4 linked regions of the Arabidopsis thaliana genome follow. The protein of the gene in region 3 interacts with the protein of the main gene of each other region in a pairwise test. Each region holds a gene or a part of one and is shown on either strand. Other genes may lie near its edges.

Evidence for each region.
Region 1: the proteins of AT1G71020 (region 3) and AT4G35500 interact in a protein complementation assay, tested with the Arabidopsis thaliana proteins (one large-scale study listed by BioGRID).
Region 2: the proteins of AT1G71020 (region 3) and SCL30 interact in a two-hybrid assay, tested with the Arabidopsis thaliana proteins (one large-scale study listed by BioGRID).
Region 4: the proteins of AT1G71020 (region 3) and AT1G15170 interact in a protein complementation assay, tested with the Arabidopsis thaliana proteins (one large-scale study listed by BioGRID).

The regions. Positions count from the first base shown.
Region 1 is NC_003075.7:16,854,170-16,861,337, reverse strand, and holds AT4G35500 (Protein kinase superfamily protein), read right to left. Parts: upstream 3,986-7,168; 5' UTR 3,864-3,985; coding exon 3,681-3,863; intron 3,268-3,680; coding exon 3,236-3,267; intron 3,229-3,235; coding exon of another isoform or gene 3,200-3,228; coding exon 2,434-3,199; intron 2,345-2,433; coding exon 2,297-2,344; intron 2,222-2,296; coding exon 1,931-2,221; 3' UTR 1,735-1,930; downstream 1-1,734. Other genes in the region: AT4G35510 (PHD finger-like protein), read left to right, coding at 1-626; MRPL11 (mitochondrial ribosomal protein L11), read right to left, coding at 4,953-5,420.
Region 2 is NC_003074.8:20,557,928-20,565,668, forward strand, and holds SCL30 (SC35-like splicing factor 30), read left to right. Parts: upstream 1-2,874; 5' UTR 2,875-2,975; intron 2,976-3,093; 5' UTR 3,094-3,096; coding exon 3,097-3,272; intron 3,273-3,372; coding exon 3,373-3,450; intron 3,451-4,550; coding exon 4,551-4,721; intron 4,722-4,862; coding exon 4,863-4,894; intron 4,895-5,076; coding exon 5,077-5,155; intron 5,156-5,237; coding exon 5,238-5,387; intron 5,388-5,472; coding exon 5,473-5,575; 3' UTR 5,576-5,958; downstream 5,959-7,741. Other genes in the region: PBL1 (PBS1-like 1), read left to right, coding at 202-280, 399-769, 862-997, 1,076-1,221, 1,301-1,424, 1,612-2,036; AT3G55470 (Calcium-dependent lipid-binding (CaLB domain) family protein), read left to right, coding at 6,429-6,495, 6,594-6,659, 7,628-7,741. UniProt on the Arabidopsis thaliana protein: Involved in intron recognition and spliceosome assembly. Probably active at the 5' splice sites.
Region 3 is NC_003070.9:26,789,757-26,797,244, forward strand, and holds AT1G71020 (ARM repeat superfamily protein), read right to left. Parts: upstream 3,564-7,488; 5' UTR 3,350-3,563; coding exon 3,056-3,349; exon of another isoform or gene 2,843-3,055; coding exon 2,726-2,842; intron 2,635-2,725; coding exon 2,248-2,634; intron 2,158-2,247; coding exon 1,069-2,157; 3' UTR 793-1,068; downstream 1-792. Other genes in the region: AT1G71015 (plastid movement impaired protein), read right to left, coding at 79-305; MYBL2 (MYB-like 2), read right to left, coding at 5,627-6,047, 6,134-6,260, 6,431-6,470; LPR2 (Cupredoxin superfamily protein), read right to left, coding at 7,445-7,488. UniProt on the Arabidopsis thaliana protein: Functions as an E3 ubiquitin ligase.
Region 4 is NC_003070.9:5,216,929-5,224,269, forward strand, and holds AT1G15170 (MATE efflux family protein), read left to right. Parts: upstream 1-3,474; 5' UTR 3,475-3,761; coding exon 3,762-4,028; exon of another isoform or gene 4,029-4,114; coding exon 4,115-4,659; intron 4,660-4,730; coding exon 4,731-4,817; intron 4,818-4,898; coding exon 4,899-4,955; intron 4,956-5,067; coding exon 5,068-5,306; intron 5,307-5,482; coding exon 5,483-5,688; intron 5,689-5,783; coding exon 5,784-5,828; 3' UTR 5,829-6,045; downstream 6,046-7,341. Other genes in the region: AT1G15160 (MATE efflux family protein), read left to right, coding at 1-108, 242-447, 546-617; AT1G15165 (RING/FYVE/PHD zinc finger superfamily protein), read right to left, coding at 791-1,052, 1,189-1,331, 1,593-1,699, 1,815-1,983, 2,370-2,400, 2,624-2,783, 3,022-3,139.

The sequences.
Region 1 (7,168 bases), on a different chromosome or scaffold from region 3:
TTGATTCTTTTCCTAAAGAAGCAATGGCTGATTGCAAGGAGAGGTCTCCTAGGAAGAACAAGCAGAAGAAACATGTCCCCGTCGAGCTCTTGTATTCAAAGGGGCAGCTAAGAGACGAGGAAGATGATTTAGCGCGTAGGTTGCATCGAGCTATAGACAATACGTCGTATCCTAGAGTCTTGAGAACTAGCGAGGAGAATGGTCAGAGATACAAGAAGCAGAAGAAGAACAAGAGCGTAGTTGAAGGTGGGAGTAGTAGTATTATAGTGACCGGTTCTATGAAAGACATTGCTGGAGTTGTGGATTCAGACAGCTCCTATGAAGGATTAGAGATAGCTAGATCAAACAGGGATGAAGCGGATTCGATGCTGATGATGGAGAAATCAGGGGAAGAAAGCAACTCATTGGTTAAAAGAAGAGGAAGAGTGAAGCTAAAGAAGCTTCCTTTGAGCATTTGTAATTCTAGAAATCAAGAAAACGGAACTTCCTCCGCGTCTCCATTACCGGTGGCTCAGCCGCAGGAAGACGGTGGTGCGATCACGGTCATAGCAGGATCGTCGTCTTGGAAATGCCAGGACATAAAGGCACCAGAATGTGTGAAGCAGAACAAAGCCGTACGGTCATAGTGACTACCATTGTCTACAGAAAAAATGACTCTTTTTTTCAAGATTTGGTCAGCATTACCATTTTCGGTAGAAGAATCACATTGTTGTTTCCTTTTTTGGATGTGTTTTAAAATTTATGTTATATATTGTTAAATATATACATAATACATATATGGGTTTATTCGCAGTTGTTGTGTAGAAGAAAGTTTGATATTTTGGATTCATAGATGCAATAAAGTGATGTACTTGTTTTTTGTTGAATGGTAAGTTTTTTCTTCATCTAATCCATTTTTTATTTGCTAAGAAACAATTAGCTAATAAGAAAATTACAACGAAACAAATATTTTTGAATGGATTCAACGATTGGATACAGGGTGTCACGTGTAGATCCACGTGGTGATATGGAACGTGTGACACAGAAGTACACGCAAATTCTCTAAAGACAAAGCTACGAAGTCATGTACGTCACATGTGGTCTGAAAGTTAAAAACCCATCTGGCCATGTCGCTTTTTAGAATTACTACTAACTAGAGTAAATTTTTATTTTTTAATTTATATGACAGTGAAATTTCAGTTTCACCATTTAGGGTATTTTGGTTTCTATCAAACCTAAATTTATTACTTGAATAAATACATTGACAATGACATGTCTAAAATAGGAACTTCATGTTATATTTTGACCAGGTATACTAAAAAAACTCATATGATAGTCAATAAAGTATAATGTAACTGCACTATATCTACATGACGCTGACAAAAACAACCGACAGAAACATTTATATTTTTAACAAGAAAATAATTTTGTATTAACCGACAAGAAACAAATGAACTATCATTAAAAAGAGGGATAAACAAAATTTGCAATTTAGACATACGTACTACTAACTCGTAAATTATGGGATCTAGTAATTTTCTAGATTCGATCAAATACTAATTACCATTTTTTAGTTAAAATAAATTAAATTCTGATAGAAATAGATATTAAAACTTTTTGTTAGCAACCGAAACAAACCCAAAACCAAATTTGATCTAAACCCAAACCAACTGACATCTAGCAATAATATCAAAACATCAAAAGAACATTCAAAATTCAAAGTCTAAAATAAGAAGATGCAACATCTTTGTTAGTCAATTCATCGCTACATAGACATTCTTAATAAGCAACAAATGAACTCGATGGTTAAATCAATATATCATAGGTCCCCCCAAAAAAAAAAGAGAAATTATACAAAACAAAAAACATATAAAGAGAAGAAGAAAGTTATATTAAAAGAAAACGAACAAAGGAATGAAACCACAAAAAAAACAAGAAGTTTGAGTTTCTCTCACCCTTTGATATGCAAGTTGTTCATTTGGTCATCTACATTTTCTGCATCGTTCTGTGTTGTTACATTCATCCATGGATGATCCAAGCACTGTTGAGCAGTTGGTCGTTTCTCCGGCGCAAACTCAAGAATCGGAGTCAGAAACTCAGCAAACTCCTTTGCTTCTGCTTCCGGAAGCTTATATTTATCAATCAGCAAGCGATCAAGTGGCCAATATTTCAACCGTCGGATTCTCTTTAAGTCCCCGTGTCTGTCAAAGTAGTCTTTCGATTTCGCCCCTCCAATGGCAATCTGCTCAAACAAGCATATCAAAAAGCAGACTATAAACCAAGAAAACACAGTGGGAAAGCAAAAAAAAACACATACCTTTCGAGGCATCTTTCCTAGGAGTTCCATCATAAGAGCAAGGTGATCCTAAATCCAAAACCAGATAACAAAAACGTATAAGAAATCAGGCTAAAACAATGAAGCAGCAAACTCTTGAGGTTAGATTTAGATCTTACCTCGTCTTCCCCATAACCATTTCCATCTTTAGGTGCAAATAGCATATCTCCTGTGACAAGCTCGAAAGCCGTACAACCAAAAGACCACATATCAACAGAGAAAGAGTATCCTGACTTTAGTATTACTTCAGGAGCTCGATACTGTCTTGTTTGTATCTCTTCAGCAAACTGTTTATCAGCCCAACAAGCGTTACCAAAGTCAACCACTTTGCATCTCATATCAATCCCATCTAGACTTTTTTCCGTTTTCGATGATGCTTCTTCACCTGTAACCATTGAGACTCTTCTTTCTGATATTTTAGCAACCGCTCTTTTCGCTCTTCTCTTTAGTTTCTTCTCAATCAGATTCATTGTTGATGCGCCACCGTTTGCGTTTCCCTCTGGTTTTTCTAATAGTGGGGTGAGTCCAGATCTAACGGGATCTTTGGCAGGGTCAATGGTGGAACAAAGAAGAATGTTTTCAGGTTTTAAGTCGGAGTGAATCATACCGAGCTCACGGTGCAAATAATCTAAACCAGTCAGTATACATCTGCAAATCTCCCGGACTTTATTCAGTTTCAGACCTTTGTACTGGTTGTATCTGATTAAACGGAGCAAGCTATCGCCGAGAAACTCAAGCACCATGCATAAATGCTGCCCATTTGGACCACTATGCTTGAAATGGTCAATAAGACGAACAACACATTTCGTCTTGTCGAGATCCCCATCAGCAGCAGCTGAAAGAAATTCGATTTCGTGAAGTGCAGCTTGAGCAAATTGTTGTGCACTCTTCTGAATCTTCAAAGCAACATAAGTCTACAACAAGAGACATAAAAACATACAAAGCAAAACATTCTTAGGATATACTTTATAGGGTGACAGTTACCTTCCTATGATTAAAGATTCTATAACCATTTAATACGCAATCCATTTTGAGCTAACAAATCTGGTAAACTAGAGGAGACTACTAGTACAGTGCCAAATCTAGGGCTATAATCCAACAATATCAAAATCAGAATCATCATCACATGAAGCAATGATCTTGCACTAAAATCTATTGGACTTCTAAGAGTAACAGATGCGTATTGTATATAAAGGACGAGTCTTTAGCTTGCAACAGTGCCATTGAAATGTGATTCAATCTCGATATGTCAGAGATCAGAGGCCAGATGAAAAATGAAACCAATGAATGGTTGATGTCAAAATGAAGAATTACGATCAAAGCAACAAAACAATCGAAGAAATGGGAAAAGAAGAGAGATGCGTACAGAGGTGAGCGTATCGTAGGCAAGCCAAACGGTGGAGAATTGACCCCAACCAAGCTTTCTCTGAGCGATGTAACGACCACCGGAAAAAGGATCGCCGATCCTGACGGCGTGATAACCACCTTTACGGTAAGCATCGAAACCCTCTTCTTCTCCTTCTGATCCGGAAGAAGATGAACAAGACATATCTCTATCTAAAAGACGTGTCTGAATTCCACCGGGTCGATTTTGATCGTAAAAATTGGATCTTGGCAAGGACCCAAACAAAGACAAAGAGCTTCCCTTTCTTAGAACAGAGAAAGAGAGAGAGAAAGACAAAGAGAGGAATGGCACTCAGATTGCGTGTGGCCCTGAAACGTAAGACCCTCTCCACTTTTTGCTCTTTTCTGTGATTTTTTTAATCAATCTCGTTGCTTCAGATTTTCCCGATTTAAACTTTTTTTCCCTATTTCTCTATTTTGCCCTTTGCTCCGGTCAGGTGTCTCTGTCTTATTGTTTCCCAAGGGCCAAGTCAATGTCTTGCTTGACCAAAAACATTCGATATGGTACCAAAATTTCAAAAACTTCCATAGACAGACGGCAAATTTTAAAGATCCGGTCACAAAAGCAACTAGTTCGAGCTGGACATTTCATCGAGCTTGATAGTCATAACTCATAAGCTTGGGGCTCGATTACAGACTCCAAACTAATCTCCAATGAAACACAAGAAAAGTTCTAGTTTCTCCAAACATACAACTACAAACAAAGCTGTGACACTTGAAAACATATTGCAGAAGAAGATTCAAGCAACTCAATTCAAAAGCTTTCAGTTTTGTTAATTTGAGATTGTTGTTTCCTTAAGATCCTACTTATGTCTTGCCATTTCAGACCACCCCCATTGTTCCTTCAAATCACTGAGCTATGAACACACAATTCTCTGAAAAAATCGAATTTACAGAGGAAAACTTCTTCCATGGAATCTGATATATCAAGTTAAAGGACCAAACTTTAGAATACTTTGCTCATACGAACAATTTCTACATCCACAACAACAACAATGCAATGTCTTTACTGTCCAAATTATTCAAACGATCAAAGTTAAACAAACTCAATATCTATTTTGATTTTGGAAAGCTTTTGGAGCTCAATTATCCATTGAAACAAACAACACAATGGAAGTAACACCAAAACACAAAACAATCTGTGAAATTCATTCATGGTTTATACTTTACTACTCAAAGCAAAGACGTTTACCAGAAGCAAATTGATTCCACTCTTTCATCAGAAACCCTAAAATCACTCCAAATCCTGAACGATCTTGATACCCATAGAATTAGCAGTACCAATGATGGATTTGCAAATCGATTCCAACGGCATATACTGACAAAACGGATCCGTCTGCTTCACCTTCGCGATCTCGTACACGTGTCTCACCGATAGCGTCGTCACCGACAAATGACCCGGGCGTGTGCTTCCTTTATCGACTCCAGCTGCTTTCTTGATGTACCACGACACCGTCGGAGACTTGACGGTGAATTCGAAAGAGTTGTCCTTGAACGCCGTTATCGTCACGGCCATCGGAGTGTCTGGTTTGTACTTTTGAGTCCTAGCGTTGAAGTCTTTGCAGAAAGCCATCAGGTTAAGCCTGTACTGACCTAGCGCCGGACCTACCGGTGGGGCTGGCCTCGCTCCTCCCGCCGGAACGGTTAGCCTTATTGTTGCCGCCACTGGTCGCCGTAGGATCTCCTTCGCAGCAGCCGCCATTGTTGCGATCGTGATGAGAGCTTCACTGTTCTTTGAGGGTTTTTGTGACAGTATATATTGGGCCTTTGCTTTTTATTTGGGCCTTATTTTTAGCCCATTAGATTCTAAATAATAATTTCCTATTTCGTTGTTTTGGACGTGTTGGTACCTTGGTGGGATTATCATGTCATGGGACGGTGACTGAATAATCAATAGTTAGTACATGACAAAACAATTTCAATGAATTAACAAACAGTGTTAAGTGTAATTAACTAGGAACAAATATAAATAAAGAAGATGGTTGACTTTTAACATTGCCTTGTTTGACCCTATACTACAGAAAAACTAATCAAATAAACGAACAAAGAACTTTAATTATCCAATTTTAATCTATAGTTATAAAATTCTACCTTGAGGAAAAAAAAAAGTTGCAAAATTCTATTATATTAAAATGGCATAGCGATTGAATGGAACGTTTATGACGTCATGTATATGTATATTGAAACTGATGTTTTAGTTTAATGACCCCAAAAAGTCAAAACAAGTTAGCGCACCGACATGATATTGCTATTGCGTTATAATCATGGACACATATAGAACACGTAACACACAAGCATGACTTTGACTCGTTGTTGCTGTACATTATTCAACTCTTTTAAGTCTCTCAAACTGATTGTATGGGCTTTTTGAAATTGTCAACCTTCGTTACTTCGAAACTACCATTTCTCTATCAATTATATATTGGATTCATAACCACACTACTATATGAATAAAGTTATATCTGGCTAGCTCCACTAAAGTATGAATTAGTTATATGTGGTTAGCTGGAATCGCATGGACTATATCATATATTGATTATATGTCAAGATATAAACTTACTTGCTTGTAATTGGTGCAAGTATTTGCCTATTTGGCCGTAGACCGAAAGATGTATAGAGATTTTGAACATAACAAATATAGCATCTTTATTTGAGTAAAAAACAAACAAAATTGTTGTTGTATCCAAAATATGGATTATTGATGCTCCAAACCCCAGTACAATCGATGCTTCCAAAGTCCATAATTGTCGTTGTTTTTCCCGTTTATTACATGTCATAATTAATGCTTCCGTTCTCAATTATTGTTGATTTTCTTCTATTTAATCCGATGTGCTAAGAATGTCTTATAGTTTTAATTAGTGGTTTAATAACTCGGTTTGCTTTTTCACCTTTTTGGTTCCATATACGACGTCAAGACTCACATCACACGCATTCACGCAAAAGACTGATATTCCATTCCGATTGTACTTTGAACTTCAAAGTTATTATTCTTTTAATATCTTTTTCCATTTATTATTTTCTAAGTTCCATCTATCTATCCCTCTCTAGAGTCTAGCCCAAGACCGATAATCTTGTGATATTTCGGCTGAAAATCGTTTTAAAAAAAAAGTTTTAGGTAAAATTTATCGTCGTTGGTTTGATTTGATAATATATTGGGTTGATTCGATTTTTTAGTGTGAAAACCATATTACAATATTTCAGTTAGTAGTATGACAAGAGAGTCTAGAAACACCAAAACTTTATGCACACGTGGACGGTGGTACCTGCTGTTAATACTATAATGTAAATATATTATGCTACCTTTGAGGACACGTAGATTCATTTCAAAGATTCTGTAAATTGATAGTTATCACTTATCAAGATCCCACCTACATGGCTACATCATTCTATCCTAACATATACAAATGTAAACAAACTCGGTTATGAAAAATAATATATCTAAACTAACAA
Region 2 (7,741 bases), on a different chromosome or scaffold from region 3:
ACATCTTCTCTTTCTCTTCTCTCATCCTCTCTCTTCTTCAGTGTTTACTTTTTCTCTTTCTCTTTTTTTTTTCTCTTTATTATTTCGCTTTAATGAGTTTTATCTGATAGAATCTGCTCCACCCAAAAACAGCATAAGAAGAAATTCATTGTCAGAGAAAAGTGCAAAAAAAAAAAACGATCTTCTTCATCATTCTACTAAATGGGTTCTTGTCTCAGTTCTCGTGTCCTTAGTACGTTCTCTACAATTCTCCATCTCCCATTTTTTTTTTTTTTTTTTTGTGATTCACACATGTGTATCTCTTCAAATCCGTGATCTTTTTGGTTAATCGATAATGGCTTTTAAGAAAAGGAATGAAATTTGCAAGAATCTTCTTCCTGTGATCTAACTGAATAAAGTTTTCCCCTTTTTTGGCGTTCTCTCAATTTTGACTGTGGTCAACGCTTTTGTGTGTTGTGCAGATAAGAGCAGTAGTGGTCTCGATGATCTTCATCTCTCGAGCTGTAAATCTTCATCATCAGCTACAGCTCATAAGACAGAAGGAGAAATCCTTAGCTCAACGACCGTCAAAAGCTTTAGCTTTAATGAACTTAAACTCGCTACTAGAAACTTCAGATCGGACTCTGTTGTTGGAGAAGGTGGCTTTGGTTGTGTCTTTAGAGGTTGGCTTGATGAGACTACTCTTACTCCTACCAAATCTAGCTCTGGTCTTGTTATTGCTGTTAAACGACTTAACCCTGATGGTTTTCAAGGTCACCGAGAATGGCTGGTACAACACTTGTTTCTTATCTTTGATTTATAACACTCTTTTGTTTTTGTGTGTGTAGGTTCTGATATTGATCTTTTTTTTTGTGGTTTCAGACAGAGATTAACTATTTGGGGCAGTTAAGTCACCCGAATTTGGTTAAATTGATTGGTTATTGCTTGGAAGATGAACAACGGCTTCTTGTGTATGAGTTTATGCACAAGGGTAGTCTTGAGAATCATCTGTTTGCAAGTGAGTCTTTGATCTCGTCCATGTTTTGTGAAACTTTGAGAGGTTGTTTGTTCTTATGTTTGAATGATTTTTTTGAAGATGGAAATAAGGATTTTAAGCCGCTATCTTGGATTCTACGGATTAAGGTTGCACTTGATGCAGCTAAAGGTCTTGCATTTCTTCATAGTGATCCCGTCAAAGTCATTTACAGAGACATCAAGGCGTCAAACATCTTACTGGACTCGGTATTCTTCTCTTTCGATGTCTACTTGTTGTCTTTATCAACGACTTAAAAGATACTGAGTTTTGTCTTTCAAACAACAGGACTTCAACGCAAAGCTTTCAGACTTTGGTTTAGCGAGAGACGGTCCAATGGGAGAACAAAGTTATGTTAGTACAAGGGTCATGGGTACTTTTGGGTACGCAGCTCCTGAGTATGTCTCAACAGGTACATTCTGTCACTAAGATATGATGCAAGTAATAATGGTTGGATAAGAAAATGTAAGACTGTTGCATGGTGCCTAACACTGGTTTTTAATGTAAATTTGAAGATAGCAACTATAAAATTTATGTGGTTAAAGGAGCATATGGGTTGATAGCTAGTTTCGTTCTCTCATCTTTCTATCTTTTTTCAGGCCACTTAAATGCTAGAAGCGACGTATACAGTTTCGGGGTTGTTCTGCTAGAACTACTATGTGGAAGGCAAGCACTAGACCATAACCGCCCGGCCAAGGAGCAAAACCTTGTGGATTGGGCTCGACCATACCTCACAAGCAGGCGAAAGGTTCTACTAATTGTGGACACTCGGCTTAACTCACAGTACAAACCCGAAGGAGCAGTGAGACTGGCAAGCATTGCTGTGCAATGCCTATCATTCGAACCCAAATCACGTCCGACCATGGACCAAGTGGTTCGAGCCTTGGTACAGCTGCAAGACAGCGTGGTTAAACCGGCCAATGTTGACCCGCTTAAGGTTAAGGATACCAAGAAACTTGTGGGATTGAAAACAGAAGACAAGTACCAGAGAAACGGTTTAAACAAAAAAACCGTTGGATTGTAGTAGGTAGAGGGAAATATAAGGTTACTTGGTTAGGTACTCTTCATGTCTTCTTCTTGTGTATTGTAATATTGTGCGAAGTGATTTTGACATTTTGTAACACTGCTTATAGTTTTGCTCCTGAAATATTCGATTTGGAGATACTTGTTTTCTCTCTATCTATAGTTTGGTGATATATGCCAAAATGTGGTAGTGATCAATTCCACTCTCTTCTAACATTTTAGTTTACTATATATGTAACTAATTTCTGTCAAGTTGATTTGTTTTTATGAAAATGACTTTAATTAGTATAGTTGATGATTGAATCATAAATAACTTGTAGCCAAAAACAGACAGAATAGTACAACAAACTCATAATGTAACATTAATATCAATTCCGAAGTTCACAAAATACCATAAATATCAAATTCCATGAACATTGTCATCAACCAGAAATAAATAAATTTTACGTTAATTAAGCCAAAATGGATCTCGAGTTAAATCAATATCAATAACTATTCAACATAGCCAAATAAGTCACTATTTTAGAACAAGAACTAACTCAATTTGAGGTTTTCAAAATTCCTATATCAATTTAGAACGAGAATCTCCAAAACACAAGTCACCTCAGTAAACTTATATATTTAAGGGTTACTTTGTTTTTGTCATAAATGTTAAAAGTTACTAAAACTGTTTTTTCCCCAATTTTTTTTACTGTTTCTCTAATTGTCAACAATCAACAATCTTTCCCTTTTTCCATTTAAAAAAACATACGCGAAAAAGGAAAAAACGCGATAAGGCCAAAAGCCCATTTAATAAATGGGCCAAGCTCTCCGATCAATAGAAAAAGATCTGTCTTCTTCTTCTCTATTCTCTGATCTCTCATAAGAAGGGCTTAGGGTTCACTTCAGATCTGTCTTTGAACATTGCTACTCTCAAGTGATCAAATTAACTCCGTCGCAGGTAAATTCCACAATCCTCCGACCGTAAACCCTAATTTATCACTGTTCTTCCAAGAAACAAGTTTTTGTTTTGATGAAATTGAGGATCTTGCGTTGAAATCGTTTTGTTTCTATGGTAGGTGATGAGGAGATACAGTCCGCCTTATTACAGTCCTCCGAGGAGAGGATACGGTGGTCGAGGTAGAAGTCCTCCTCCTCCTCCTCCTCGACGTGGATATGGTGGTGGTGGTGGTGGTGGTGGACGTAGAGGATCTAGCCATGGAAGTCTCTTGGTTCGTAACATTCCTCTTGATTGCAGGTAAATTCTCTTCCTTTGGTTTAAAGTTTTGATTTTGTTTTAGTTTATCTTTGAAGATTTCGTTGGGTTGTTGTTGATTTTGTTGTTTTTGATTTTGTAGACCAGAAGAGCTTCGTGAGCCCTTTGAGAGGTTTGGACCTGTGAGAGATGTCTATATCCCCAGAGACTATTACTCAGGGTAAGCCTCCTCTTTCCTTCTCGATATCTTGATCTTTTTCACTGTACCTGAAATTTGTGCTGCGAATTATGTCTTTTGAGGTGTGAATCTTTTATAGATGGACTAGTTAGGTAATGGCTTAGCATATGATTCTTGTTTTCCTGTAGAATTTGCTTTCTTTACGATTGAAAAATGCTGTCTAAACACTTTGCTGCTTCACATTCAATGCTGAACCATTTGTTTTGATTAAAAAGGATGTTCATAAGTCTTCAACTTGTGCACAAAGTGAGGAAAATTGCAAGTGACATATGAGTTTTGAATTTTGATTTTGGCGCAACCTGTGCATGTTACTTTTTTTATACACTCCACTTTTTGATCGAGCTAAGTTCTCGAGGTGAGAAGAGGTCCTTTTGGTTGAGTTCTCGATTTTTTCAGAGCTTTTTGTTTTGGAGTTCTTTTTTTCATAGTAAATTAAACATTCCACTGATTTCCCAGGGGGTATGTTGGCTTGAAGTTAAAACAAGACCAAGCCCCACATTTGATGAAGGCCTCATGAAAAAAATCTTAACTTAAGGATATTAAGGGTCATTTCAAATCAAGAATGTTTTGTTTGGAAGCAAGTTATATGTGAAGCATGTTTTATTTGGAAGGAAGTATTAAGTGAAGAATATTTTGTTTGGAAGCAAGTAATAAGTGAAGAATGTTTTGTTTGGAAGCAAGTAGTAAGTGAAGAATGTTCTGAATGGAAGCAGTAATAAGTGAAGCATGTTCTTTATGAAGCTATACAGTAAATTACTCAAAACCTTAGAAGTTTTTTGGGGAAGACGACCTGAAGAGAACTTAAGTTTGGGATCAAGTGCATCTTATTTTTACAAGATGCTTGCCTCTTTTCGAGTTGATATGCTTGAACTGTTATGAAAGGGTCAGCTACTAATCATATTAGCGTAAGTAGAACTCTGCTTTTCTTAGAAGTTCTCACACGATGACGTTTACTTAGAAGTTCTCAGAAGCTGTAGAATGTAGGCTGATTTTGCTGGTAATTCTAGATTTATCTGGTGTTTTGTGCATTTGCTTTCAACCATCAACCACTTGGAATGATAAGCTTCTGATAAATGATGCAGGCAACCGCGGGGGTTTGCGTTTGTGGAGTTTGTTGATGCATATGATGCTGGGGAGGCTCAAAGAAGCATGAACAGGAGAAGCTTTGCTGGAAGAGAGATAACGGTGGTTGTTGCTTCAGAGTCTAGGAAAAGGCCTGAAGAGATGCGTGTGAAGACTAGGACTCGTAGTAGGTAAGTTTCCATATTTCTGATTGCTTAAGCAAAAGAGTTATCAATCAAATCGCTCTTCGTGATTAATGCTCTGCAAGTTATCCATCATTTATGAAAAGAAGTTGAGAAGGAAATAATCGTTGCGTTGTCTCAATTTTTCAGGGAACCTTCAGGCTCCAGGGATCGTTCTCATGGTTAGTAATTTTCTCTCTGGTTATGCACATGTTATGTTCTATACCAGCAAAGTTTACACAAATATTAGCACAGCTAGATTGGGACGCACTTGTTTATACACAGCTTGAGAAAGCACTTGTTTATACATGTTCTCATGGTTTGTATACACAGCTTGAGTATGTTTATGATTTTTTGTTCTCAGGACGGTCTCGTTCACGTTCAATCTCTCGATCACGTTCTCCACGTCGTCCGTCAGATTCTAGAAGCAGATACCGATCAAGGTAACATGCTTCATCACACATACATTTCCATCATCATCAAGTCAACAAGAAGTATATATGGTTTTAGATAATGGTGTTACAGGTCTTACTCTCCTGCACCAAGACGAAGAGGAGGTCCTCCTCGTGGGGAAGAAGATGAAAATTACAGTCGTAGGTCCTACTCCCCTGGCTATGAAGGTGCTGCTGCTGCTGCTCCAGATCGGGACAGAAATGGAGACAATGAGATTAGAGAGTAAGTGAAACATGGTGTCTGATTTGTTTTGCCCCTGAAGATTGTGTCTGATTTTTCGTATCTGGACATTGATTGGTCTTAATAGAAAACCGGGCTATGAAGCAGAGGATAGACGTCGTGGTGGAAGAGCAGTTTCAAGGTCGCCATCAGGATCCAGGTCCAGGTCTGTGGAGGTATCTCCAAGATGAAACTTATGTGAAGAAGTGGCCGACCAAAACTTTGTGCAACGCTTTATGGGTTTTGCATTTCTCTAGTAGTGCGTCTCTGTGTCTTTAAAAACTCCTTACTCTGGCTTGTCAAAGATATTTTGTCTTGTGATGTGATGTTACTTGAAATCGGTTTCGGTTTATGGGTCTTATTATAAAATTGTATGAAGAAGATTGGTTATGCTTTTGATGTGAGACAGGTTTAAAACCCACAATGAGCGAGTAAACCAAGTCTTCTCTCGTATGGTCGAGGTCGAGAATTGCGACCTTTTTTTGTTCTCGAGCAGCCTTTGCAGATATTTAATTAGGAAAGTCAGGTCTAAGAATTTCTGAGAAGAAGAGAATAAAAAGACTCATTCATCTAGAAGAAGCCATAATGATGTTTTATTGGGTCTGTTTTGATCAAAAGTCCAAAGACTTCTACTTTTAATTGGGTTCGTATACATTTTTCAAGCAGCCAAGAGTCTTTCCTTAAACTAAGTAAGGGTAAGATGGTCATTTTAGCTTAGTTGACCAGACTTATAAACTTTAGGTTTTGCCTCCTGTTACGTAATAATGGTTTGGTTTGGTTTGATCAAGTCTTGGAACCACGACGCAGGTTATGTTTGAAAATTGAAAAAGAGTAAATAAGAATAGTAAAAAATCATTATGTGAACGAGAAAGTCTGCGTGTTCTTGCTTCTGTATTTAAAGACTTTGTCTGACACATCCACTTCATCAATCGTTTCTCTTTCTCCTTCTTCTTCTTCTTCTTCTTCTTCTTCTTCTTCTTCTTCTTCTTCTTTTTCTTTAGAAACAACACAAACCCCAAAAACTTAAAAAATAACTCTACAGAGATGGCTGTTGGAATCCTTGAGGTTAGTCTGATCAGTGGCAAAGGTCTCAAGCGCTCTGATTTTCTTGGTAATGATCTCTCTATTCTCTCAGATTTCGTATCCTTTGATCATTTAAAAAACCCTTTTACAACAATTTATATTTTTCTTGGTTTTGTATGATTGTAGGTAAGATAGATCCATATGTTGAGATCCAATACAAAGGGCAAACCCGCAAAAGCAGCGTTGCTAAAGGTAATTTAACTTGCTAGTTTCCTTCTTTCCATATTTCCAAATCTCTATCAGCTTAATTCGGGTTATTTCGTTTGACTTTTTTTTTCGTTTTATGCGAGAGAGACTATTTCTCCAATTTCATCATTTTCTTTTCTATATACTTGGACTTTAGGAATAAAAAGCCCACATGCTGGTGTTAGTTGATGGTTGTACATAAAGTAAATAATAGTTGCAACTTGCATCCATTGGTATTTCAACTATCCTCATAGCCATTACATGGTAGCTTAGGCTATACTATTTATTCGCGTTTTGATAACATTCATTATCTTTTATCAGTTATAACATTCATCAGGTTTTTACGTTCTGATGATGCATAAGTTATATAAATGCATGTTTTAAAAGTGTAACTTGAAAATAAAACAATCAATTTTCCAAAAACTAGCTAACTATTGTTCGTGATTATTCGGCAAAATTTGTTCATCCCAACTCTCAAATGCTTTCCGCTACTTTTATCATTTCACTATTTGTCATTACACTATTTTATATTTTGAGACATTTTGTGGTAGCTTGCAAGTTTGTTTTCATGTATATGGTTTAAATCTTGAAAAATGTTGTGTATGGATAGAGCTTTCTTCTGAAAGTAGTCATCTCATTTAGTGTGATATTGTCTGGCCAACCTTATTTTTAACTAATCACCAACTAATACACCAAACTACTAGCTATAAGAAATAATATTTTCATTTCCTACAAAAATGGGTAGTGAAATGTGAAAACTACTGTGATGTAAACAATCCTCGCTAGACTTGGTTAATGTTTTACTGAAGAAAATGGTGTTTTAGTGAGATATTGATTGCACGGCTTTAATCAAACGGCTTTTGTCTACTTTACCAATAACGGATCAAACTGGACAATGTTCTTTTCTCATTATCATATTTCATGTACAAACATCGTTTATCAAATTTTCATCTTTTTTGTTTACTTAAATGAAGAAGATGGAGGTAGAAATCCGACATGGAATGATAAATTGAAATGGAGAGCAGAGTTTCCTGGCTCCGGCGCCGACTACAAACTCATCGTCAAAGTCATGGATCATGATACTTTCT
Region 3 (7,488 bases):
ATGGGTTTTAAATGATTTACTCAAAAAGATTCTAACTTTGATACCTAAAACTAAGTAGAAAATTGAGGAATATAATACCTTGGAAGTTCAACCATGAAGTAAATCCTTTTGGATTCCAAGTTTTGGTGAGGCTCCAAGGGCTTTGCTCTGATTCCTAAACGCTTCACTGCTTCGGATTCCAAGAGAACGTGGCCTGGAAAATCTTTAACCACTGTACCAGCTTCCACAGGCGTTTTCAGTTTGAAACTCTCGCCATTGATGTTCATGATTGTCGCTGTTTTCTTGGTTCCCAAGCTATTTCCCATTTTGGTGAATGATGTTGTGTAAAATGTTAGTATCTTTTAGGTTCACAAATGAGATGAAAAAACTTTGTAGGTTGGTGTCTATTAAGAGCTCAGTAGTTCAAGGTGGGTGTTGTGTTAGATCAGATCATTATAGATTTTGGATTTGATTTATGGTTGGTTGCTGATGATAGTGAACCATTTCTTGGTCAACAAAATGCCAAAATCTTGAAAATTATTAAAACAATGAGAAGACAAAAGTTACGTCGCATTTCACTATCAATCTTGAAAAGACCAATAACAACCCAAAATTTATGCTTAATTTTATAAATAGAAATGGAAAATGTGTACTGTTCTTCACTTCGACCATAGTATATTTTGTACTATGTGATTTTGGAAGTTTTGAGACCAATGTTTTCTGAGAAAATGACACTTGCGTTAATCGCTCCGATTAATCTGGAAAACTACGTTGTCGAAACATTTTTTCTCAAAGACACGTGAAGAGATTGACTTTTAACGAATTTGAAAACAAAAAGCTGATTTGATTTCTCTTTCTAGGAACAGTAACAACACACGACCTTTATCAAATCATATGAAACATTTTTTTTAACAAAATTAACAAATCAATACAAAGATGAGTCAAAGAGTTCGATTCTCGTTAACTCTTTTGACTCCACCTTCTCCTCAAATGGAAATTAAATTAGTCTTCCAAAAACTCAATAAGATACAGGACATAATAAACAGATCAATAGCCAGCAAAACTAAATTAATTCATGTTAAGGGCTATTTAGAGTGAACCTAATTTTCGGGATGATTTACGGAGAAGCTCTAGTAAAGAATTAGCTTTTCGTTTAGCTCTCTCTGTACCGTCTCTTGATAGTTCCATCAATGGAACAACAGCTCCAAGTCTACCAATGGAGATCAGTTTTTCAGTATCTCTCTTGCAAAGACACAGTAGTATCGCAGCTGCGTTCTCTCGGTTTCGCGGTTGATCCTTCTGGAGACAATCTATCAAAGGTGGTATTGCGTTGGCTCTCAAAATCGCAGTTTTCGCGACTTGGTTACTAGCTAGAACCGAGAGTATGGTCAAGGCTTCATCAGCCATCCTCTCGCTCGAGGAGTCTGTCAGCATTTTCACCAATGGCTTTACTATACCGGCTCTAACTGCTCTGCCTTTGTTTCCCTGGTAAATACACAAGTTGAACAGAGCCGTAGCTGCGTCTTTCTTCCCTCTGACGCTTCCATATTGAAGCAGATCCACTAAGGCCATTATCGCACCTGATGCGCCTATAATGATCTTGTTCTCATCAGCTAACGAAAGACTAAAGAGAGTAGCTGCAGCGTTTTCTCTAGCTTCCATGCTTCCAGCTCGGAGGACTAGCACTATAGATGTGACTGCTCCTGCAAGCATGATCAGTTCTTTGTTGTGTTCGTATATGGAGAGGTTAAGAATGCAAGTGACAGCATTTTCCTGCGTTTCAGTGTCACCATCTGAGGTCAAAAGCTTGACCAAAACAGGGATGGCTCCTGCCTCTGCAATCAGAATTCGGTTGTCTGTGCTTCTTTTTGACAGAGAGCGGATTTCAGAAACCGCAGTCCTGCGGTCTTCGATTGATTGGCTAGAGAGTTTACAAACCAATGCTCGGATCGCTGACATATCTCCACTTAGATCACGGAAAGACCCATCACTGTTTTTGGTCCTACCGTTCATGTAACCACCTGGTTGCTCAATGTTGTGCTTAGTGCACCACTGAGATATCAGGCTTCTGAGGACATAGTTTGGAGTAAGAGTAAAGTTTTCAAGTTTCTGCTGTGTCTTTGGGCAGCTCAGATTTCCACAGTCTATCCATCTCTGAATGAACGACCTCTCGTATGTCTGCCAACGAAGAGAGAAGATCATTGTTAAGGTTTCAAATCAACAACCATACGTTAGCACTATATAAAGATTTGATTTTTTAAACCAGACCTGTCCTGTGGAAACAATAGCAGGATCCTTCATCAGTTCCAGAGAGATTGGACAAAGAAAGTCCTCTGGAATCGTGAGATTATCCGATTTCTGTGAGTCATCGCTGTTCTCGGTAACTGCTTTCTCTAATCTCTCATCATCACCATCCTTTGATAAAAAGAAGGCCAATGATACTGAAGAGCTCTTCCAAGGAGGGGGTGATTCAAATTTCTTCTCATCTGATAAAGAATGCACTGTCTCTGGAATACTCTCCAACTTTTCAATAACTTTTCTATTACTTGAGGCATCTTTCTCCATTGGCTCAGATAAACCACTCGAGAACTTCTTCGAATTTAACGATCCATATCTCTGCATTGCTCTTCTTAACTGTAATCTTGCTAGTTCCACCTAATCACAAGCAAAAAAAAACCCTTAGAAACACCTCCATGGATAGGAAAACCAAATCTTCATACATTCTACATAATGAACAAACTTTTACCTGTTCACGGACTTCGTCAGAGATATCATATCTATCATATGTCAAATCACCTAATGCTTTCTCCAGCTTCCATGTAACACATTGGAACTGGAATGAGATCCTCTTGGCTGCCCCATCCTTCAATCAAAATCACACATCAAAGTTTAGAGAGCTCCTCATGTATATATTAATAATGCTCTTCACTACACAAATGTCAACAATAGTATCTTCCAATCTAAAAAAACTAAAAACAAATTCTTCCTATAAATTACGTTCCTGCCATGGCGAGACCAAATCTTCGTGAAATCACAAATCCATTTTCAATCGTTGAGAATGGTTTAGAATGCTTACAGAGGACTCGCGAGCTTGGAAACTAGTAGCTGAAGACAAAAGACGCTTCGCGGCTTGAAGTCCCACCACAAGATCAGACCACCAATCACATTCATGAGAATTCAACGAAGAAGAAGCATCAGATTCCGACGGCGGAGAAGAATCCCTGATTTCCTCAATCAAATGCGTCAGGAGACCGACTCGTCGCGCGAGATCGGAACAATCCTTCTTAAACAAACCAAAATTCCCCGGAATCTCATTGATTTCAGCAATAAGACCGATGAGAGAATCGGGAGTGATAGCTCCACCAGCCATTACGCCGTCTCACACGGCGGCTTAAAATTCGAATTTTTGTGACTCGCTCTCTCTCTCTCGCTGGCTCGCTTCTGACTCAGAGATGCGTCTCTATCGCTTTTATGTATCCAACGAAGCCATGTGGCGAAAAAGGATAAGTCGCTGTTACGACACCGTTTTGGTTTTAGTGTTTTTTGTTTTAAACTTTTTATCTAACTCTAAAAATGGTTTTTTCTTTTCTTTTTAGTTTACTGGCTTTATATTTTTAGATAAAAGTTTATGTGATACATTTAAATAATACAATAGAACAAACTAGATAATTGAGAGCGAGATTCACGGTGCAAGTAGAGGTTGAAGAGAAAATGATACAGTTGTCAAAAAAATAATCAATTATTATCATTTATATTAGATCAAAACTGTATAATAGAAATGAACTATACTTTTAAATTCAATAAAAAAATCCACTTTTCTATTTATTGAAGAAAATGGTTTGTTGTGTGCTTAGTTGTAAAGTAGATCTTATATGATTGTATTTTATAGTTGTGTTGAAATTTATGTTGGAGTTATGAAATTTATCTGTATGTATTATTTATGTAATCTTAAATGGTAATAAATAGTCAAATTAGTTATTTTTTCTATTTGAAAAGAAACTAAGATAAAATTTCCAGGCCTTTAGATGCATTGTATTGACATGTGTTTCTAGTATATGATCTGTCTTACCCTAGTGTTTATTAAAAGATGGAAAAAATCTTCTTTGTAATTAACTAAATATAGCTTTACATGTTTTATTTTCCCTTAAAAATAACTTTGTATGTGTAAGAAAATTTAATATCTCTTACAGCAAAAATGTTCTAGAAAAATTATGTCAATTAACATAATTTTGGTGAGTATTATATAGCCTGCAAATGGAACGGTCGAACATGACCCGGTAGATCGAATTTTAACAACATTTTAGATAATTTGAAGCATGTATACAAATTGGGACCTATAATTTTCTTAAAACTGTTTTACCACAGTTTAGTATACTTTTGATTAAAATTTATAAACATGACTTACATATAGTTTGTGACAGTCTTGTATTGAAAAGTTATCTCGGTTTAACAAAAGAAAGGTTCAACCACGACATCCACATCATATCGGCCGACGTCCATGCCCGTGACTTCTGCGTCCTACATAACAACCGATAGCAACTTGAAAAATAGACAACATTATCTTTTAGACATTTTTGGCAAGTTTGACTGGCTGGTTTCATAATTATTTTTGGACATATGCAAAAATAAAAAGATCTACATAAAGAAGAGGGTATTCGTCTGAATCAGATGAAGATTAATAACCTTGAAGTGTTTGATGAGGCATGTGATTTTTGCTTGCACATCCACACACAACTCTCCATTAACCACAATACTCACCGTTATTTCTGAAATTTATGGTGTAGTTGTACTTGCGGAACAATATGAAAGTGAAGGTGAGATCAGAGTTTATACAGTTGTGGAAACAACTTCTTTGATGGTTGTAGATCCCGCAATCGTAGAAACAACCTTAATGATGATTGTAGTTTCGATGATAAATATTGGTCCATTTTCTTAGCAAACAATCTCCTCTTCTATACTTGTCAAACATTCATATTCTTTGGTCATGCAATTTTGTTTAATATTTGATGATGTTTGAATAGCGGTTGTACAAATGTATTTACTTTCTAATTTTTATTTTAAGCATGTATGAAGATACTTTAAACAAATTCATTGTGAGTTTTGTTCAAAATATATGTGAACGTGTTTGTACTAGTTGGTGCATATTTGACCGTATAGTCTCCATGCTTAAGACATCCTTAAATCGATACATTTCATTATTTTATAAGTTAACTAATTTGCTTCCTTTATATCTTTAGTAAGTAATTTTCGTATTTATAGATTCCTTTGTGCGAAACGAGAGTTTGAAATTGCTTTTGAATAAAGAGTAAAGTGTAGTTTGGAGGAAAATGAACATACTTGTCCATTTTAAGAGAGTTAATTAATACTTCCCGTCAATGTGCACCGTTAACATTGCTGTATTAGCTATAATTTCTTACAGCTTGATTGATCAAATAAGCAGCGGTTATCGTCGGTTAGTTATTAACGATCTACTATAATACTAATCACTGAAAACAGAACCGGACATTTAAGAGAATAGTTGTTCAATGACCAGCCGGTCCAATTCAGGATTAACATATTTCAAACATCGTTATACCATCTCTCTAGTGAATATTATAATATGTGCATTTGTAATATAACAAATGTGTACAAACAAATACACCATTTCTCATCGGAATAGAAGAAGCGTTTCTTGACCTGTTGAACCATTGGTAGAGGATTCGCTAGAGTCCTGAAGGCAAAGAGCTGGCAAAGAAGTCACGGCCGGGATGAGACCAATGTTTAGGTCAGGCAAATGACTTCGTCCGGTACTAGTACTATCCTCCGAGCAATTGGTACTTGGAATGGGCAAAATTGTTACACCACATGATTCGGATACCGAAGAAGATTGATCACTAATAATCTTGGTTTCATGTTCCTTATGTGAAGAATGGAGGTGACGTCTAGAAATGTAGTTGGTGTGATGGTGGAGACGATGATTGGTTGGGTCGATTCCCATTTTTACGAGCTTCCTTTTTAGGTAAGTTTCCCAATGGATCCTAACTTCGTTGTCGGTTCGTCCTGGCAATCTTCCCGCTATCAATGACCATCTGAAAAAACATAACATCAAAATGATTATTAGCACGTACCGTTCACATTACTATTGAATTAAAGAATAAGAAGAATGAATACGAACCTATTGCCAAGAAGTGCATGAAGCTTGAGGATGAGATCGTCTTCATCTTTTGAGAAGTTGCGTTGTTTAACTTCTGGCCTTACGTAGTTTCGACCTCTCAATCGACATCTCTTACGGTGTTGCATACCTAAGAGAAGGGATCAAAATTTAACAAATTAAAACGATATATCGTCACAAAGTCACGTATGTACACATGTATATCTATGAATTCTACATCGACCTCTTTAAACTATGAATAATTTGGTGATGTGAATAGCAAAACACATGATTAATACTGTTTAAAGAGAAAATAGTTACCGGAAGGTGGGGAGAGAGCACGAAGGCGGGTTTTGTTCATGTCTTTTTCAAAGTGAGATTGGTTGAGTTATGTCTTTTTTTAAAACTGTTGATAGATTGTGAGGTGGTTTGCGAGAAGAAACTGATATATAGGATTAGGGGATGGCTTGAGGAGGTTTGACTTGGACTGGTGGGTTGAGAGAAGCGTGCATGCTCAATCAAACTATTAATGAACGAGGAAGAACAAGAAGAATACATCAACCTTGTTAATTGGTCCCACATTTAGGAGTTGAAACAAATAAAAATTGGTCCCATATTTGTTCAAATCCATTAGAATTTGTGGAATCATGAATGTGGAAGTGTGTCGCATTTAATTTGCCTTACCAATACCAATCCAAATCTCGCTCTTATCCACATTTTCGTAAAATATATGTACGGCTCCGATAGATACCTTTTGTGAAATATCAAAGATGTGTGTGTGGTATCAATAATAGATTCACTAAAATATATATTAAGCAAGAAGAAGACGAAGAAGATATTTGACTAGTGGCTCAAAATTATTTGGATGCATTATTTGATAAAATATCTGAAGCTTCCGAATATGACATGAAAATAAACAAATTAAGAGAAAATAGGAAACCATGAAATTAAAGAGTGTAGGTTCAGGAACAGATAAGGGAGAAACATGGGAGCATTCAATTGAATTTGACTGGTGGTTAGGACTTTGTATACGAGGAATTTTCTAATTTCACTCACCACTTCCCTATCTCACTTACCATCTACTCCAAAATCATATAAGAAGCAAAAGAGTTTTGTTATTGGGCCCGTTAAAGCCCGTAACTGTTAAAAGCCCATTAACAAGCTGCTTCTAATCTCCGAGGCCAAGTGAAAAACAATGATAGAGATATAACATCAATCCAATCGAATTATCTTTTAACACTTTCTGTATAAGATATTTATGTAATCTGAAATCTCAATCTATATCAACTCGTTTGTATTCTGCACTCGTAATTGTAAATTGTTTTCGTTTTAGAATTATAGCACCATTGCAAAGGGCCTCATCATCATATTGTCTTCAT
Region 4 (7,341 bases), about 22 Mb from region 3:
TGGGCCAAGTTTTCAGCAGTGACAAGAATACCATCGACTATGTTGCAAAGATGGCTCCACTGGTCTCTATTTCTCTCATACTGGACAGTTTACAAGGGGTTCTCTCAGGTTCGAGAACTGTTCCTATTTCTTTTCTCAAACATATACTAGTGTCGAATATTATGTTATGCACTTTTTAGTCAAAGATAACTAAAGGTGAACTCTTTTCTGCCATTCCTAACCCTCATTTGTTGGTTTGCAGGTGTTGCAAGCGGATGCGGGTGGCAGCATATAGGGGCTTACATAAACTTTGGAGCTTTCTATCTCTGGGGGATACCCATTGCTGCATCTTTAGCCTTCTGGGTTCATCTGAAAGGTGTTGGCCTTTGGATTGGAATAATAGCCGGTGCCGTTCTGCAAACTCTTCTGCTGGCTCTTGTCACAGGCTGCATAAACTGGGAAAACCAGGTCTTTTTCCCTTTTCTTTTGTTCTTTCTTCTTCATGACATGTTTCTATTGTGAAATAAACATATTGATGTTCAGTTGGATGCATATTTGAACTCTAGGCTCGTGAAGCGAGGAAGCGAATGGCTGTGGCCCATGAATCAGAACTTACAGAGTCAGAACTTCCCTTTTAAGATAACGGGGGCACATATGTTGTTCCTCAGGTTACACCATTTTGGTAGCAGCCAAATCGTTGTATGTTACTGCTAGACTAGCGTTTGCCGTGAATAATCGGTCTTTTTTGTAATAATACCATATGATACATCCCTCAGCAATCGTTGTTTCGATGAAGTTTCATCCTACTTATTCAGAAATACTTTGGACAGAAAATGATGCAGTGATCCCATTCTGCTGATACCAACTCGCAATCAGACTTGTAACACAGTAGTTGCGAGTCAGGGAAAGATGTGGGAGCTGCTTCTGAGTATTGGGGCAAGAGTTTTCCATCACAGAACCATTTCTCGACACAGACCCGTTCATAAGTCTGTCCAGAAGCAACAATGACAGGATCACGCATAAGCTGCAAAGATATCTGTTCTTCTGGTGGAATGAAAATCTGTCCTGATTTCCTACTGTTCATAAGCTTATAGTTGATAGAACCAAACTTCGATAGTTGGCGCCCAAACGCATGAACACGATGTTCATTACAACCTTAACCAGAGTCATTTGTCATCCACAATTTCACTTCTGAATAGCTTGGAGTACTTTTTCATGAGATGCAAGATGTAAGCCACAATGGAATCCTTCCCCTTGTCTTCTTCCACACTTTCCCAGTCAATGAGTTTCTTTAAAGCATGTCGCCTCCACCATAGCTGATCTAGAAGAAGTTCTACTACGTTCCACCAGAGCTGTCACAGGAGTTGTCAAATAGTTCAATTACCCGATCACCAACACTGAATCTGAAGAAATCACAAATCAAAATTAGAATTCGCAACTAGGAACTAGCAGATACCAAGTTTTACCAATCCGAACTCTAATTTCAAGAAACAAATAAACACGAGGGTATGCTTGTGTAATCAAAAAAACAAAAGACAAGCAAGTAGCTAGCAAGAGATACATAAGCCCTAATGTGAAAAAGGAAATGTGTTGTGCACTAAAACAGACATCACCTGAAACCCACTTGATCTAGGAACAATGTCCTCCATGCGTCTAAGACTTTTCATACATGCATATTTTGGTTTCTCAATTTCTACGGTATAGCATCCCCAGTGATGGCCTGTTTACAAGGACCAAAAAAAAAAGGGGGAATTCAACAGACCACAACAGAATGGAGGATACCTATCCAAAGAAAGTGAGATAAAGAGAAATTCACCAAGTAAAGTTTGCTACACTCAAAACAGTGTTGAAGAATGTTCTTTGCTTCCTCAAGTGAATTATGTAACGAACACAAGGCTTGAATCCCGGGTTTACTCCGAGGTCTTGCAATTTCCAACGACAGGAAGATCGACCACACCTTGTAATAAAGTGCAGATAATTTCTTGCACACACATCTCTATGTAACTGCATTTTATCAATGCCCATAACCACAACTTTAGCAAAGCATAGAGAACAAGACCATCAAATTAAACGAATCACGCAAACAAAGAATAAGAACAGGAATCCAAAAAAGGAAGAAAAAAAGACTAGAAAGCACTAATATTTTCAACTCAGGATTAACTGTCCCCAAGAAGATTACCAATTACTCCCTCAACAGAAGACTTTCTACAATCAACAGAGAAATGGATCAAAGGTAAAAGTTCCTTAACATCAAAAAAAAAAAGCAATCCATTCATGAATAACGTCATAACATACTAAGTAAAACCCAATGTTTTAATTTGATTCCAACAACTACTGACAGGAATCTTTGTGAAAGAGTGATGAATGAAACATATCATTTATGAGGATACCTTGGGCATCGCTAGCAGCGGACAAATTCTCCTCGACTCAGAATTTCACAACTAAAGATTACAGGGACCATACGTTCCTCCGGTTTTACCATCTTAGTAGCAGCCAAATCGTTCTCTGCTACTTTTGGACTAGCGGCACACCGCTAATAACGAGTCTTTTTGTAAGAATACTGCATGATTTTCGACAGTAATAAGAAGCAGCCTTTATCAATCGTTGTTTCTATCAAGATTTATTTCTTGTTGTTCAGAAATACCTTGGACAGAAAATAATGCCAACAAAGCCTTTTATATGTTCACCGAACAAATTCAGCTGCCAGTGAGCTTGAGAACCAAAGTAGAGACCAAGAAGTGGTGTTAATGGAGTTAATACAGTCGCTGCAACGCATATCTCCAAATTGACAGCATTACTGGAACCTGCAAAAACCAACAGTGTCAAGCCAAATTCAATCCCTAAGTGGTCAAGTAGAGCGTAACATAGATGAGCAATTCATATGTTACCTGAAAAACAGCTCTGTTCTGAACACACTCAAAAATAGACGACAGAGATTATACACTCGTGCGTAATTTACCAAGAGAATCAAAGCTGGAGGAGAAGGCATTGGCAATGCCACCAAAGAACAGTATCGACGAACCTAAAACAATTTTCCAGAACTCAGAGCTGGAGATACTACGGCGGCGGTGGATACGACACGGCTATTGCGGCAGAAGCGGACATGGCTAAACATGGAACACGATAAACATGGGGGAGAGGGAGTGGCTAAAGTGCGCATGGGACACGGCGGAGAGATTTGGGTCTCTATGTGACCGTCGGCGGTAGAAAAGGGCGGTCCGATTGGTTCGGTATTTTTTAGCTCTATGCACCTAATTTGATTCCGTTCATATGTTTTGACACGTGGACGATCAGGATATCATTATTTTATCTTCTTTCAACCACTTGTGTAAGTGTAACCAAGTATAAAAGAGAAAACAAAAACAAAAACAGCCTTTGGAGAATGGACCAGCAATTTAGTTATTTTTTTAGCAAAATTCCAAGAAACTTTACCAGCTTCGCATCCATATAGTAGTATTTTATAACGAACTACCTTTCGTCCATTCAATAGAATGACTAATAGATTGAAAAAGAGTGTGGATGATAAAAAGGTCAAAATACAGATTCATAGCAGCAAAAACCGAGATCCCAAACAAATTTGCATTTTTAAAATAAAAATATTTCATTGAAATCTAAGCCAAAGTTTAATATTATTTCATTTACGGGGTTTGGGAAGATTCGTCGAAGGAGGACATGCAGGCACAAATCACAAATATCACTCACCGCCTTTGTTTGACCCTTTCCCCCACAAATCATCAAAATTTACTGTTTTACATTCTCTCTCTATCACTCTGCATTTAGCCATGGGAGACGCAGAGAGCACTAAGGATCGCTTGCTGCTGCCGGTAGAGAGAGTCGAGAACGTGACATGGAGCGATCTGCGAGATGGTTCATTCACCGTAGAACTCAAAAGGCTTATCTTCTTCGCCGCTCCTATGGCTGCTGTTGTTATCGCTCAGTTCATGTTACAAATCGTTTCAATGATGATGGTTGGTCACCTCGGCAATCTCTCCCTCGCTAGCGCCTCTCTCGCCTCCTCCTTCTGCAACGTCACTGGCTTCAGCTTCATCGTCTGTTTTCTCTTCCTTCTTTCCCCTAAATTGATACACTTATCTCTGTTATTTTGATGATTGTTACTTTTTGCCTGTGGTGTTAGATAGGATTGTCATGTGCCTTAGATACTTTGAGTGGTCAAGCTTATGGAGCTAAGCTATACCGGAAACTAGGAGTTCAGACTTACACTGCTATGTTCTGTCTTGCATTAGTGTGTCTCCCTCTTTCTCTCATTTGGTTCAACATGGAAAAGCTTCTTTTGATCCTTGGCCAAGACCCTTCTATTGCTCACGAAGCCGGAAAATATGCCACCTGGCTTATCCCAGGACTGTTTGCTTACGCTGTTCTACAGCCGCTCACTCGCTACTTTCAAAACCAGAGTTTGATCACACCTCTCCTCATCACCTCCTATGTTGTGTTCTGTATCCACGTTCCTCTCTGCTGGTTTTTGGTTTACAACTCAGGGCTTGGTAATCTTGGAGGAGCTTTGGCTATCAGTTTGTCAAACTGGCTCTATGCCATTTTCCTTGGATCTTTCATGTACTACTCCTCTGCCTGTTCTGAGACACGTGCGCCGCTCTCCATGGAGATATTCGATGGCATTGGAGAGTTCTTCAAATATGCTCTTCCTTCTGCGGCTATGATTTGGTACTTCACTTTTCTCTGTGCCTTTTCACTTCTCAAAGCCTCCACACTAAAAATTATGTTGTGTGTTGCAGCCTAGAGTGGTGGTCTTATGAACTTATAATATTACTCTCTGGTCTCTTACCCAACCCACAACTGGAGACTTCTGTGCTCTCTGTCTGGTACTCCTCCTTGCATCGATCAATTTCTTCTTGTTACAATTTTGAATTTGCAAGAACATAATGTTATTCACACTGTGGCAGTCTTCAGACAATTTCAACAATGTATTCGATACCACTAGCAATCGCGGCTGCAGCAAGGTTAGAGCTTTAGTCACACTATGCAGTACATAAATACTGAAGCATATTTTCTGCTCATGACAAGGAATCATATGGTTTCATATTCATAAGCGGATGTTTATTTCTTGTGCAGCACAAGAATCTCAAATGAATTAGGTGCTGGAAACTCTCGAGCAGCACATATCGTGGTCTATGCGGCAATGTCTCTTGCAGTTATTGATGCATTGATAGTTAGTATGTCTCTACTAATCGGCAGGAATCTTTTCGGGCACATTTTCAGCAGTGACAAGGAAACTATCGACTATGTTGCAAAGATGGCTCCATTGGTCTCTATTTCTCTCATGCTTGACGCTTTACAAGGGGTCCTCTCAGGTCTGAGACTTGTTCTTCTTTCTTTACTCACACACAAGTTCTTGTCGGATATTGTTTACTCTTTTCCTCCACATAGTGCAAAGACACTTCATGTTCTGTGTTTTGTCCTGTGTCAAAAGCTATCCCAAAAATATACTCTTTTCTACCACGCCTAATTGTCTTTTGATGGTTTGCAGGTATTGCAAGGGGATGCGGATGGCAACATATAGGAGCTTACATAAACTTAGGAGCTTTCTATCTCTGGGGGATACCCATTGCTGCATCTTTAGCCTTCTGGATTCATCTGAAAGGTGTTGGCCTTTGGATTGGAATCCAAGCCGGTGCCGTTCTGCAAACGCTTCTGCTTGCTCTTGTCACGGGCTGTACAAACTGGGAAAGCCAGGTCCTACTTCTTTTTCGTTCTTTTCTTCTTCATGACTAGTTTCTCTTGTGAAATAAACATACAGATCTTGAATTGGATGCATGTTTGAACTGTAGGCCGATAAAGCGAGGAATCGAATGGCTTTGGCCTATGGAACATAAGGCGCTGCAGAACAGCACTTACAGAATCAGATCTCCGCGTCTGAAGATATAGGGACCTGATGATCCTTCGGTTTTACCATTTTGTTAGTAGTCAAATTGCTGTACTGTATGTTACTTTTGGACTAGTGGTAGCCGCAAGTAATATTGCATGGTTTTCCAAAAAGGAGCCTTTTCTCTGTTCTCAACAACAAAGAATAATGAACAGATTCACTGGACTGTGAGCTTGACCATACAAGCAGAGACCAAGAAGTGGTGGTATTGATGGAGCTGCTACAACCACCACATATCTCCAAATTGACAGCATCTGATTTCCTGTCACTAGTCCCACTTCTCACAAGAGTAACTGAATTACTCGAACCTGTTAAAGTTATCAAACCAATTTTAATGATCAATCTTGGGGCAAGGCTTTAAAAGGCACCCTCAGTGTCAATTAGAAACATAACATAGAGTTTCTACTGAGTCTTGGGGCAAGAGCTGTCCATCAGTGATACATTCCTCAATACAGACATGTTCATAAGTCTGTCCAGAAGCAAAAAATGATTACCTACTCTCCATGGGCTTATATAGTTAATAGAACTAAACTTTGATAGTTGACACCAAATGCATGAACACGATCTTCATTAGAACCTTGACCAGTGAGGGAACATGGTGTTGGACACTAAGAGTCATATATCATCCAAAATTCCACTTCAGAATAGAATGGAGTATTTTCTCATGAGGTATGACAAATAATTGATTCCTTCCGGTTGTCTTCTCCCACACGTGCCTTGTGAATGAGTTCTTTAAAGCACGTTGCTGTCACTGCAAGTTGTCAAATTTCGTCAACTGTTGCAACCGTGCAATCATCCGATCACCAACTTCCTTCTCTGATATGGATCAAGCAACAATGTCCAAATCTGAACAAATCACATATCAAAATTAGAATTGCAACAAGGAACTACCAGAGACCAATTTATAAATTCAGAAGCAAATATACACGAGGGCATAATTAATCAAACTGGCTGCAAGAGACTTATAAACCCTGAACAGTTGCTAATATCGCATGGAGGACATTGTTGCTAGCTCAACTGGGTCTCAGATGATGTCTGTTTCAGTAAAAAGTAACACATAACTGCATTTTATCAATGGCCATAACACACAACTTTAACAAAGCATAGAGAACAAGACCATAAAAACATAAATTACATCAAAGAACAAGAACAGAAATCTAAAAACAAAGCAAGAAGGAGCGATCACACTTCAAATAAACCAATGAGGTAGTGGACAAAGCCCTCACCTAATTCCAGATCAAACCGGCGGAGATGACGGGTGAGGGGAAGTCAGCGCAGGATAAACATGGGAGGGAGAGAGATAGTGGCTAAATTCCACATGGGTGACAGAGGGCGCCAAAGTATGACTTACTTGGAGTGATTTGGATAGAAAATGGTGACACGTGGACACTCAAGATATCATTTTTATCTTTTTCCCAACCACTTGTGAGCTGTGTAGGAGAGAAGTAATGAACATATAAGCA